Caenorhabditis elegans: one gene and its partner. The protein of the gene in region 1 purifies or fractionates together with the protein of each later gene. This does not show direct contact. Each region holds a gene or a part of one and is shown on either strand. Other genes may lie near its edges.

The links.
Region 2: the proteins of T28A11.17 (region 1) and C25H3.14 fractionate together in Caenorhabditis elegans (co-fractionation; one large-scale study listed by BioGRID). This does not show direct contact.

The regions. Positions count from the first base shown.
Region 1 is NC_003283.11:3,262,957-3,268,554, reverse strand, and holds T28A11.17 (Peptidase_M13 domain-containing protein), read left to right. Parts: upstream 1-2,265; 5' UTR 2,266-2,300; coding exon 2,301-2,360; intron 2,361-2,716; coding exon 2,717-2,827; intron 2,828-2,876; coding exon 2,877-3,098; intron 3,099-3,325; coding exon 3,326-3,627; intron 3,628-3,670; coding exon 3,671-3,881; intron 3,882-3,946; coding exon 3,947-4,093; intron 4,094-4,160; coding exon 4,161-4,274; intron 4,275-4,559; coding exon 4,560-4,736; intron 4,737-4,791; coding exon 4,792-4,929; 3' UTR 4,930-5,073; downstream 5,074-5,598. Other genes in the region: T28A11.18 (T20D4.11-like domain-containing protein), read left to right, coding at 508-639, 1,212-1,622, 1,668-1,727.
Region 2 is NC_003280.10:5,693,278-5,697,060, forward strand, and holds C25H3.14 (Acyl-coenzyme A thioesterase 13), read left to right. Parts: upstream 1-2,105; 5' UTR 2,106-2,116; coding exon 2,117-2,391; intron 2,392-2,769; coding exon 2,770-2,854; intron 2,855-2,909; coding exon 2,910-2,981; 3' UTR 2,982-3,081; downstream 3,082-3,783. Other genes in the region: eif-2D (SUI1 domain-containing protein), read left to right, coding at 1-267, 312-485; C25H3.3 (Acyl-coenzyme A thioesterase 13), read left to right, coding at 929-1,203, 1,249-1,333, 1,376-1,462; C25H3.10 (F-box domain-containing protein), read right to left, coding at 3,417-3,662, 3,712-3,783.

The DNA of each region.
Region 1 (5,598 bases):
AAACATGTATATGACAATACTGTTGTAGCATTAAAAAAAAGCAACATTAAAAATGAAGTAATGGATATATTCTGAATCTGAAACATAGAATTAGCCAAGTTTGGAAAATTTAAAAATATGTAACTTTTGGGATGGTCTCTAGACTGTCTTCTCCGTTCAATCTCATTCGGATGACGATTTCTGGAAAAAAGAAAAAAGCAAAAGAAAGCACTTGCTATCTTCTGTTCTTAGTGTAATTTTGAGATTTCTTGGGGTCAAAAAATTCCGGCATCAACATGTTTGTGGTGAAAAAGGGATACGTCTCAAGGTACAAATTTCATTGATATTGGTGGAACAAATGTGCGATCTAAAATCATCAGAAACTTTTCTTGAGCTACTCCAGGAACAACGACAGTTGACACATTATCATCCCCTGAATCGTTTAAATAGAGTTCACCGTATTGAAAGTTTTCAGTCTAACTTTTTTCCTTTTTTAATCAACTTTTAATATAATTTTTGTTTCAGAAAATGATAGGATTCCTCAAACTTGCCATTATTGGCACTGTGTTTTTGGGTGTTGTTCATCAAGCAGTTTCTACGGCAGCACAAGACGCCGGCTGTACTGATGAAGAATCACTTAGGACACATTCTTGTGACCTGGTGAGTTGTTTTTTTTGTTTTCACGCAACTCGATGATATCGTATTAAATGTGAATAGCGCCAGTGTGGATATTGCTTTAACACATGCCTATGGTACCATAAAGACCAAATATCAAAAAAAAAGTTTTCCTGCCAACATTTTTAAGAGAAATTTAAATTCCCGCAAAAGTTGGTCTCGCCACGATGGGTCTTACCACGATGGGTCTCGCCACGATGGGTTTCGCCACGATTGGTCTCGCCACGGCCATATCCCCCTACTACTACAGTACCCCGACTATATCCTCCAACTTTTTTTCTCCAGAAGGTTCTGGAACATTCCAGAATTTTCTCAAATTTTCCAGAAGGTTCAGGAACATTACAGAATTTTCCAGAAATTCCCAGAAGGTTCTGGAACATTTCATAATTTTTCCGAAGTTTCCAACATCCCTTCAAAAGACGAAAAGTAAATTTTTGCCAAACTACAGTAATCCTACAGTACTCCTACAGTACCTCTACAGTACCCCGACAATTTCCGTTTTAAAGCAATTTCCTCACTGGCGCTACTCACCTTTAATTTCAAATATTTGAATTTAGGTTCTGGCCGATTTCCTCGAAAATCCTGGCAACCTCGACGTGAAGAACAAAAAGAGGTTAAAGGAATACAAGGATGATTGCCATAACGTACTCAGTTGCTACAACAAAATCAAATGTTTGGGAACAAATGGGGAAAAAATTCCAGCGGTTAAGTATATTGGAAAGCATTGCAGAGCTACGGATTACGTACACGATGATTTTGCCAAGTGTAGTGACAAATTGAATGCAAAGAAATCAACATGTTTCGATGACTGGGACCCAATTCCAAACAACGTCACTACTGAAAAAGTCCCAAAAAAATTTGACCAGTTGATGAGTGAGTCTTGTAAAACATGTTTTGGAAAAGACAACTGCATGATGAAGGAAATTAAAGAAACATGTGGCCAACAAGAGTGGGACTTATTCCGTGTGGTAAAAAGCTTCTAGATAATTTCTCTAAAAAACTTTCATTTTCAGCATTTCATAATTATCGCTGGTGGATTTTTCGACAAGTGTGACTTCAGCAGGCTGGATTAAATTTTATGTGTTGTTAAATGACTCCTACAAAATTAATCAAAAGTGGCAAAACCTTATCAAAACTTTTTTTTCAAATATAATTTTACGATTCGCGTTGTTTGTGAGACTTTGAAAGCTCTTGCAAAAAATCAGAAGTTTAGGAGAAACATCACAGAAACAGTTTCCTGTGTTGATTACAGAGTGTTTAAAGCCGCAAAAATATTTGGGGTGGCCTATTCTGAGAAATCACTTTCAAATCACACAATTCTCGTTTTGAAGTCCAAGGCTTTAAGAACTTACTGTCCATGTCAGTAGTATAAAAAAGAATTTTCAAGTTTGTCCATCTTATGTCGCTACGTTCTGAAAAAGTGGCAGTTACCCTATTTTTGAAGTTTGGTCTTTTTTCGATGAATTTATAAGATTTTTCAATAAAAAAGGCTCTTCTTCTTGTTTCATCAGCAATTGGTCAGGATCTATGTGAATTAGAAATATTTTTAACATTGGGGCAGAGTTTTGAAGAACAAGGTCGCTCCAACATGTGGCGTACAAATGAACACATGCCTTTTCACATTTTGCTCCTAATACTAACTGAGAATGAACTTCCTGTTGGTACTGACACTAATTGTGATTATAAGTGTGCAGAGTAGACAGGAGGTAAGTTTTTTTCTAAACTAAAGTACTGAAATTGTAGAGTTTTTCGGTATTTTCAAATTAAATTTATTGTATTTCGAATATGACTGACTTAATAAAAAAACCAAGTATATTAATATTTGACTAGTTTGATCAATTTCCTGAAGTCGAAATTTGACAAAATTTTCGGAGGTTTGTGATTGTTGGTATTTGTTTTGTTGAAAATTTCAAAAATTTAACTTGGAACCTGAATATAAATTTTTCCGAACAGAATGTATTTTCTCTAACGTTTTCTCTAGTCAAATAATGATTGTTGTGTTCGTTTCAAGAATGTTCCAGATCGGTGCTAGCTTTTTTTTTAATCAAAAAATAGTTTTCAGAATGTTAGTCTGGATCCTTGCAACGACTTCTACGATTATGTGTGCTCAAATGACACCAGAAGCATCACTGAGCTTAACTTCACAAGTTTATTCGAGGATCGAGAGATACTGGTAGTAGGCTCCCTGTCATGCATCCAATATTACGCAGTAATGGTTTCAGAATCCGAACATTTCATTTCCGAATAACGGGACCTACATCACATTTGATCAGATTCTTAGCCCGTATAGCTTGATGATGTGGTATATGGTGGTCAAATCAATGGATACGCCCACTGTTGGTTCTGAATTTTTTGATGAGGCGACACGCGAATATGCTACAAAGAAGAACAATTCGGAGAAATTCAGTTTCGCGTTGGAAAACCTGGAAAACCTTAATCTAACGGTAAGAAAACTCTGGAAATTTTTGGAATATTCCAAATTTAGAATTTTAATTTTGTTTAAGGTTCACGGAAAAAAGGTTTGCTATTCCTAGTTCCAAGAAAGCAAGTGTATTGGATTTTCTTTTTATTTTTAAGAGAAATTATATAATTTTTGGAGGGAATTTAGTTTTATAATAACAATTTCAATACTATTTTCACATGCTAATTTTATAATTTTTTTCTATTCCAGTTGACAAATGTTTTCTACAATTCTCTCTACGCCAATATCGAGGTCCTCAATCAGCTTAATCTTCCAGCCTCCGAAGAAAACGAATATCTTCATCATATTTTCGATCTAATGAAAAATAATACTATCGAGGAGATTTGGAGCAGTTCTTTATCAAATAAAAGTAAAAAAGAATTTGAGAAAGAACTGAACAAGTCAAAAGTAATTTTTGGACTATTGGATTATAATAATGTGACAATGCTAGAGGAAACTAAACTCATTTACGAGACGGAATATTATCGACTCAAAAGTTTATTGTCGTCAAAGTAAGTAGAATATTGAATACTAACCTTTAAAATTAGTTTTCAGTGATCTTGACACAGAAATTGCGGAGAAAATCATCCGTTTGGGAGCCACTGATACCGCGACAAAAAACTTGGGGAAACGAATTCCGGGCTATACACCGCAGTTTTTGTTCTCCGCTTTTGCGTCGAATATGGCAAACGAGGCGTTTAATCAAAATTCAAATATTTATTGTGGAATTGTCACTCGAAGTGATTTACAAGAACCCATTTTAACGGTGAGAAAATATTGACCATTAATTTCCTAAAAACAAAATGCCGAGGCTATCTTACACTTTTCCAGATAGCCGACACCATTTTTGTACTCGCCCATGAGCTCATGCACTTTGTCTATCCATTCGGAATACGGTTACTGCCTTCTAATGTTACAAAAGCAGCAAACAAGTGTACACAAGATGAAGTCAAGATGATGGGTGACTCTGATGCCGTGGTGAGCTAGCAAATTTCTACTTTTGCTTTACATACTTCCCTGTACTTTTCAAAAGTGACGATTTCAGAAGCCAATAGATGGATGGTTCAGTGAAAACATCACTCACGAAGATCTTCCAAATTTATTGGGATTAAGGATGGTTATGAAGATGGTCGCAAGGAAATCGGCGAATGAAGAGCAGGTAGGAAATATTTCAGCAAAATTAAAGTACGCGAATTTCGGAACGCCTACATTTTAGATAAATTGGATAGGCCGGCGCGGCTCCAAAAGTTGCCGGGTGCTGGAATTTTCGGCAACCTGCAACCAAGTTTTTTTTATTCTACAGAAACCTTGGAGTTACCAATAAAATCAAGAAAATTAAAAGGCTCCAAGGTACTTGTAACGAGCACAAAAGTTGAACAATTATGCAAGTTAAAAAATTATTGCTTCCGTGAGTCAAGTCGCCGCCAAAAATTACATATTTCAGCTGAAAAATGCGCTTGAAACAATTTTGAGCGGATTATGCATCCAAGGCAAACCAAAAAACTCAATTCTACCAAATCATCATCCCTTTGAAATATCCATCAACACAGCCGTTCGCCAATATCCATTGTTCAGTTCACTCTATGGATGTCGCCTTGGTGATCGAATGTTTGCTGAACCGGTACGGAATTTAAGATGAAAAAAGGAAAATACGGTATAGGTATCTATTTTTTTAGGAAAAGTTTTGCAATCCACTGGGAGGCGACGTGAACTTGGAGGACTATAAAATCAAGAATGATACTGAAGATGTCGGTGGATTCTTCAATTATATAATGGATACTGCAAATGCGTTTAATTTTTCTTTTACGAATTGATTTTTGCCACAACCATTCAATATGTGCTTGATGTTTTCCCACAGTTTCGTGGGTTTATTTATAACCGTTTTTATGCTTTTCCATCAAATTTTAATGATATTAGTTTTTATGTTTGTTCTTCAAAATACACTTAATCAAAAAAAACCACAATTCAAAGCACTGAACGGGATAGTAATGTATACTTGTTTGAAGATCAACAGCCTGAACTTCATGATTCATTTTTCTCAGTTTGTTTGAGTTAGAATAAAGAGAAAAATCAGAATAAAGAGAAAGTCAATAATTTGGAAACTGTATGTGGAAGCTGATTTTATCTGGGTCTACAAAAAATCTACACTTTTGTTTATTAATAAGGCAAGTGTTTATTAATAAGGCAAGTGTTGAAATATGGAGATTTAAATTGACGGTGTAGTTTCGTTGGTGCGTGATCCAATAGGTCCTGTAAAGTGAAAGTTGTGACGATGTGCATAAAGTAAAATACTTGGGAGTTTACTGTAGTTGCAAAAATGTGATTTTTATTTTCAACAATTTGTAATTTTTAAACATTCAAAGATGTCATACCCCAGCGCTCTAGGAGCTTCACAAAAGCTCCTAGAGGGCTTGTTATCAAAATTCGACATTTTTCCCAACTCACTTTGAATAACTGAAACTGAGAAAGTGCCCACATTGTGT
Region 2 (3,783 bases), on another chromosome or scaffold:
TCAGTTCGTCTTGATCCAATTATCTTTTCGGTCACTAAAATCCAAACGGATACAACTCCATGGGCAAATTTGATGAAAGAAATCCATTCAAGAATGACTGCAACATGGCACATAAGATGGCCTGACGGCAGAGAAATAGTCAGAAAAGTATCTCCACCGAGAGTTGAATTCAAGATCGAAAACCGTGCTGGAAACAAAAAAGTTACTCTTTTAAATGGATTAGCGATGTTTGGAATTGACATTCGAACGATTTGCCATCAAATTCAGGTAGTTGGTGGCTAATCCTTAAATACTAATTTCTGAATTTTCAGACTGGTGTGGCTACTAGTGTTACAAGTCAATGGGAAGTTCCTGGCGTCGAAGGTCCTCAAGTACTCGTTCAAGGAAATCAAATTCATTTTATCGCTGATCTTCTGATAAAATCGTATGGAATCGACAAGAAATTTATGAAAGGAACCGAGTTGGCGGTGAAAAAGAAGAAATAAGAAAATTTGGAGAAATTTGCAAATTCAAATAGTATTAAATCTGTTCAATGTATTCCCTCACACCTTAATTTTTTTGTTTTGAAATTCGGTCTTTCTTTATTTATTAAATACCCGTGTGTTTCTAAGTATGGGTTGTATTCGTATTTTCGGTTCCATAAAGATTCATGAAGAACTTTCTCTTATCGTTTTGAACATATCCGCTTGGTGAATTATCAGTGCCAATTTAAATATTACACATACGCGAACATTTTCGATTTTCGGGCAGAAAAAAAAGGTATTAGGTCTCGCCACGCTTTTTTTGTGAGATAAAAACGAGGGTGTGCCTTTAAAGAGTACTGTAAGTGTCGAGACCTGGTGCCGCATTTTGGACCCAAGATTTCGCGTCTGGGGGATAAATTGTTCTAAATTTTTAAGATGTTAATCCATTTTCAGATTAAATCAAAATGCCTTCAAAATACATGCAATTGGCGAAGGAAATCATCAAAAATTATGGAACCAAGGGTCAATTCGGATGTGTTTCCGGAGCAGGAAATGTGAGAGCAGTTCATGCGGAGGAAGGAAATCTACGAGTGGAATTTGAAGTTGAGAAAGATCAGTCAAACCATTTTAACACTCTTCACGGTGGATGTACATCTACGCTCATTGATATTTTCACTACTGGGGCTCTTCTTCTCACAAAACCAGCTAGGCCAGGAGTATCTGTTGATTTGCATGTTACGTACGTAAAGAGAGAAGAAAATTGTCGAATTTGATAGATTTTTAGATACCTGACCGCCGCTAAAATTGGTGAGACCCTTGTGCTCGACTCCACCGTCATCAAACAAGGAAAAACTCTTGCATTCACAAAGGTAAACTTTAAGAAAAGTTTTAAAAATATTATTTTTTTCCAGGCAGAACTCTACCGTAAAAGTGATAATGTAATGATTGCAACTGGAGTACATACCAAAGCATTCCCAACTGTGAAGAAAGCAAACTAATCAATATATTCCAAGACATGGAAATTTGCGATCCGTGCGCCAAAAATACGGTATCCGGTCTCGACACAAAATGTTTTGGTTAAATGAAAAAAGGTGTGCTTCTTTGATGAGTACTGTAATTTTAGACTCTCGTTGTTGTTGAAATTTCATTGATTTTTCAACAATTTCCCATCAATTTTCGATAAAAAAAACATTTATTAATTTATTTTAAAACTCCCATACATCAATTAAAACTTTTTTTTTTCAGAAAATCGCGAAAAAAAATCAAGAGTTGGAATTTCCAGTAAACTTTAATGGCGCACACACCTTTTCCCGTTATAAAAAAAGTTTTCGTGTCGAGACCGGCTACCGTGATTTCTGCCCAAAAATCGCAAAATTTCGTGTCTGGAATACCTCCTAAACATAATTCCTAGACACAATTTCTAATTTGATCGTTTTGAAAAACATTTCCCTTGTGTACAAAACTATTATTCCGCAATAAAATTGTAAAGAATTCTTGTTTTTTTTCCAATTTTCCATAAATACTCGTTTTAATCCGAGTACTCTGTACATGTTTTGATGGTAAGAGAATCCACGCAAGTCTACGTGGTTATGAGATTTTTGTTTTGAAACAAATATTTTTAAATCATATATTTTTTCTAAGATTGCTTGAAAATGGCATCAAAATACATGCAAATTGCGAAGGAAGTGATCAAAATGTTCGGGACAAAAGGACAATTCGGTTATGCGGCTGGAGCACGGAATGTGAGAGCAGTTCATGCGGAGGAAGGAAATCTACGAGTGGAATTCGAAGTTGAAAAGGATCAGACAAATCAATTCGAGACACTTCATGGTGGATGTACAGCAGCACTTATCGATTGTTTCACAACTGGTGCTCTTCTACTCACAAAGGAAGCGAGGCCTGGTGTTTCAGTGGATTTGCATATTACGTGAGTATCTATATCTAAATAGAGGTTTCCTAGATTATGCAATGATTTGAAACATATAAGTCTTGCGAACAAGTGCAATATTTAAGCCAAAATTCAGTGTGGGGTCCCACCACGACCGAAATGTTCTCAGCTACGGTACCAACGAACTTTTTCTAATGTTTTCTAATTTTTCCATTCCAACCTTTAATTTAAAACTACAGATTTATTGCAAAACCAACAAAAAAGAGAAATCTACCGTACTCACGAGTACGGTAACTGAAAAGTTTCGCTCATTCTAGTACCCCCATACCTATATTTTAGCTTTATAATCGTTCATTTTCGTAAACTAATAATGCCAGAAATTCAGGAGAAAATATTTATGATCATCGTAACTTCCAGATACTTGACAGCTGCAAACATCGGAGAAACTCTTGTACTCAACTCTACTGTCATCAAACAGGGGCGCTCTCTTGGATTCACTAAGGTATCATATTTTTTTATTCTTGAATATTTCTGATTACAAAAGTGTTTTATTTCAGGCAGAACTCTATCGTAAAAGGGACAATGCAATGATTGCTACTGGAGTCCACACCAAGGCGTTCCCAAAGTGATCGCTCACCATAAAATAAATAATGTTATATGCAAATTAAACTAGAATTATTTTACCATGTATTCCATTTCATTTCAGAAAATAAATATCTTTATCAATATATGTGTTTGTTTGCCATTAAAAAACACAAATATCGGAAGTGAGAGATCATTTGTTGTAAGGATAATGTGTTTTAAAGGCTCCGTATCACACGCCAACGCTCTGAGTTGATGCTCAGTGAAATACCAAAAGTGACGAAGAAGCTCAAAATTCATATTTTTTGGATGCAAATCATAGAAAGAAGTCTTATAAAAAATTCCATTAAAAAATTCCGAACATATCTTGCTGCGGTTATGTTGGAGGCAAGAAAAAAAAAAGAAATCATAATCGCCTTCGATCACTTTTTTTATACACATTGTTTATCATGAAAACTTATTCCAAAACAAGATACCAAAATTCACCACAAATATTCTAAAATTTTCAATTGCCTTATAACCAATGATGGCTGTTTCGAGAAGTTTGTACTTTTGAAGAATCCAATTTCAAGTTCCTCTTTTCCTTCGTCTAGATCCCGAGACACTTTCCACGTCGTTGGTGTTTTCTGGCAACTCTCATTTTTCAGTAAAATCAATAATTCGGGAATTGGAAAACTAATGACAATGTTGTACATTTCAATCCAAGAAATGGAGCCCAATTTCCAATTCTGAAATTCGAATAAATGGAGTGATTAATCAAATTCCACAGAAACATACTTTTAGGAAGGTAGATATATCTGAACTTCTGAGACGATTTTGCCCAATTTCCAACCAATCTCCTCTGAACTT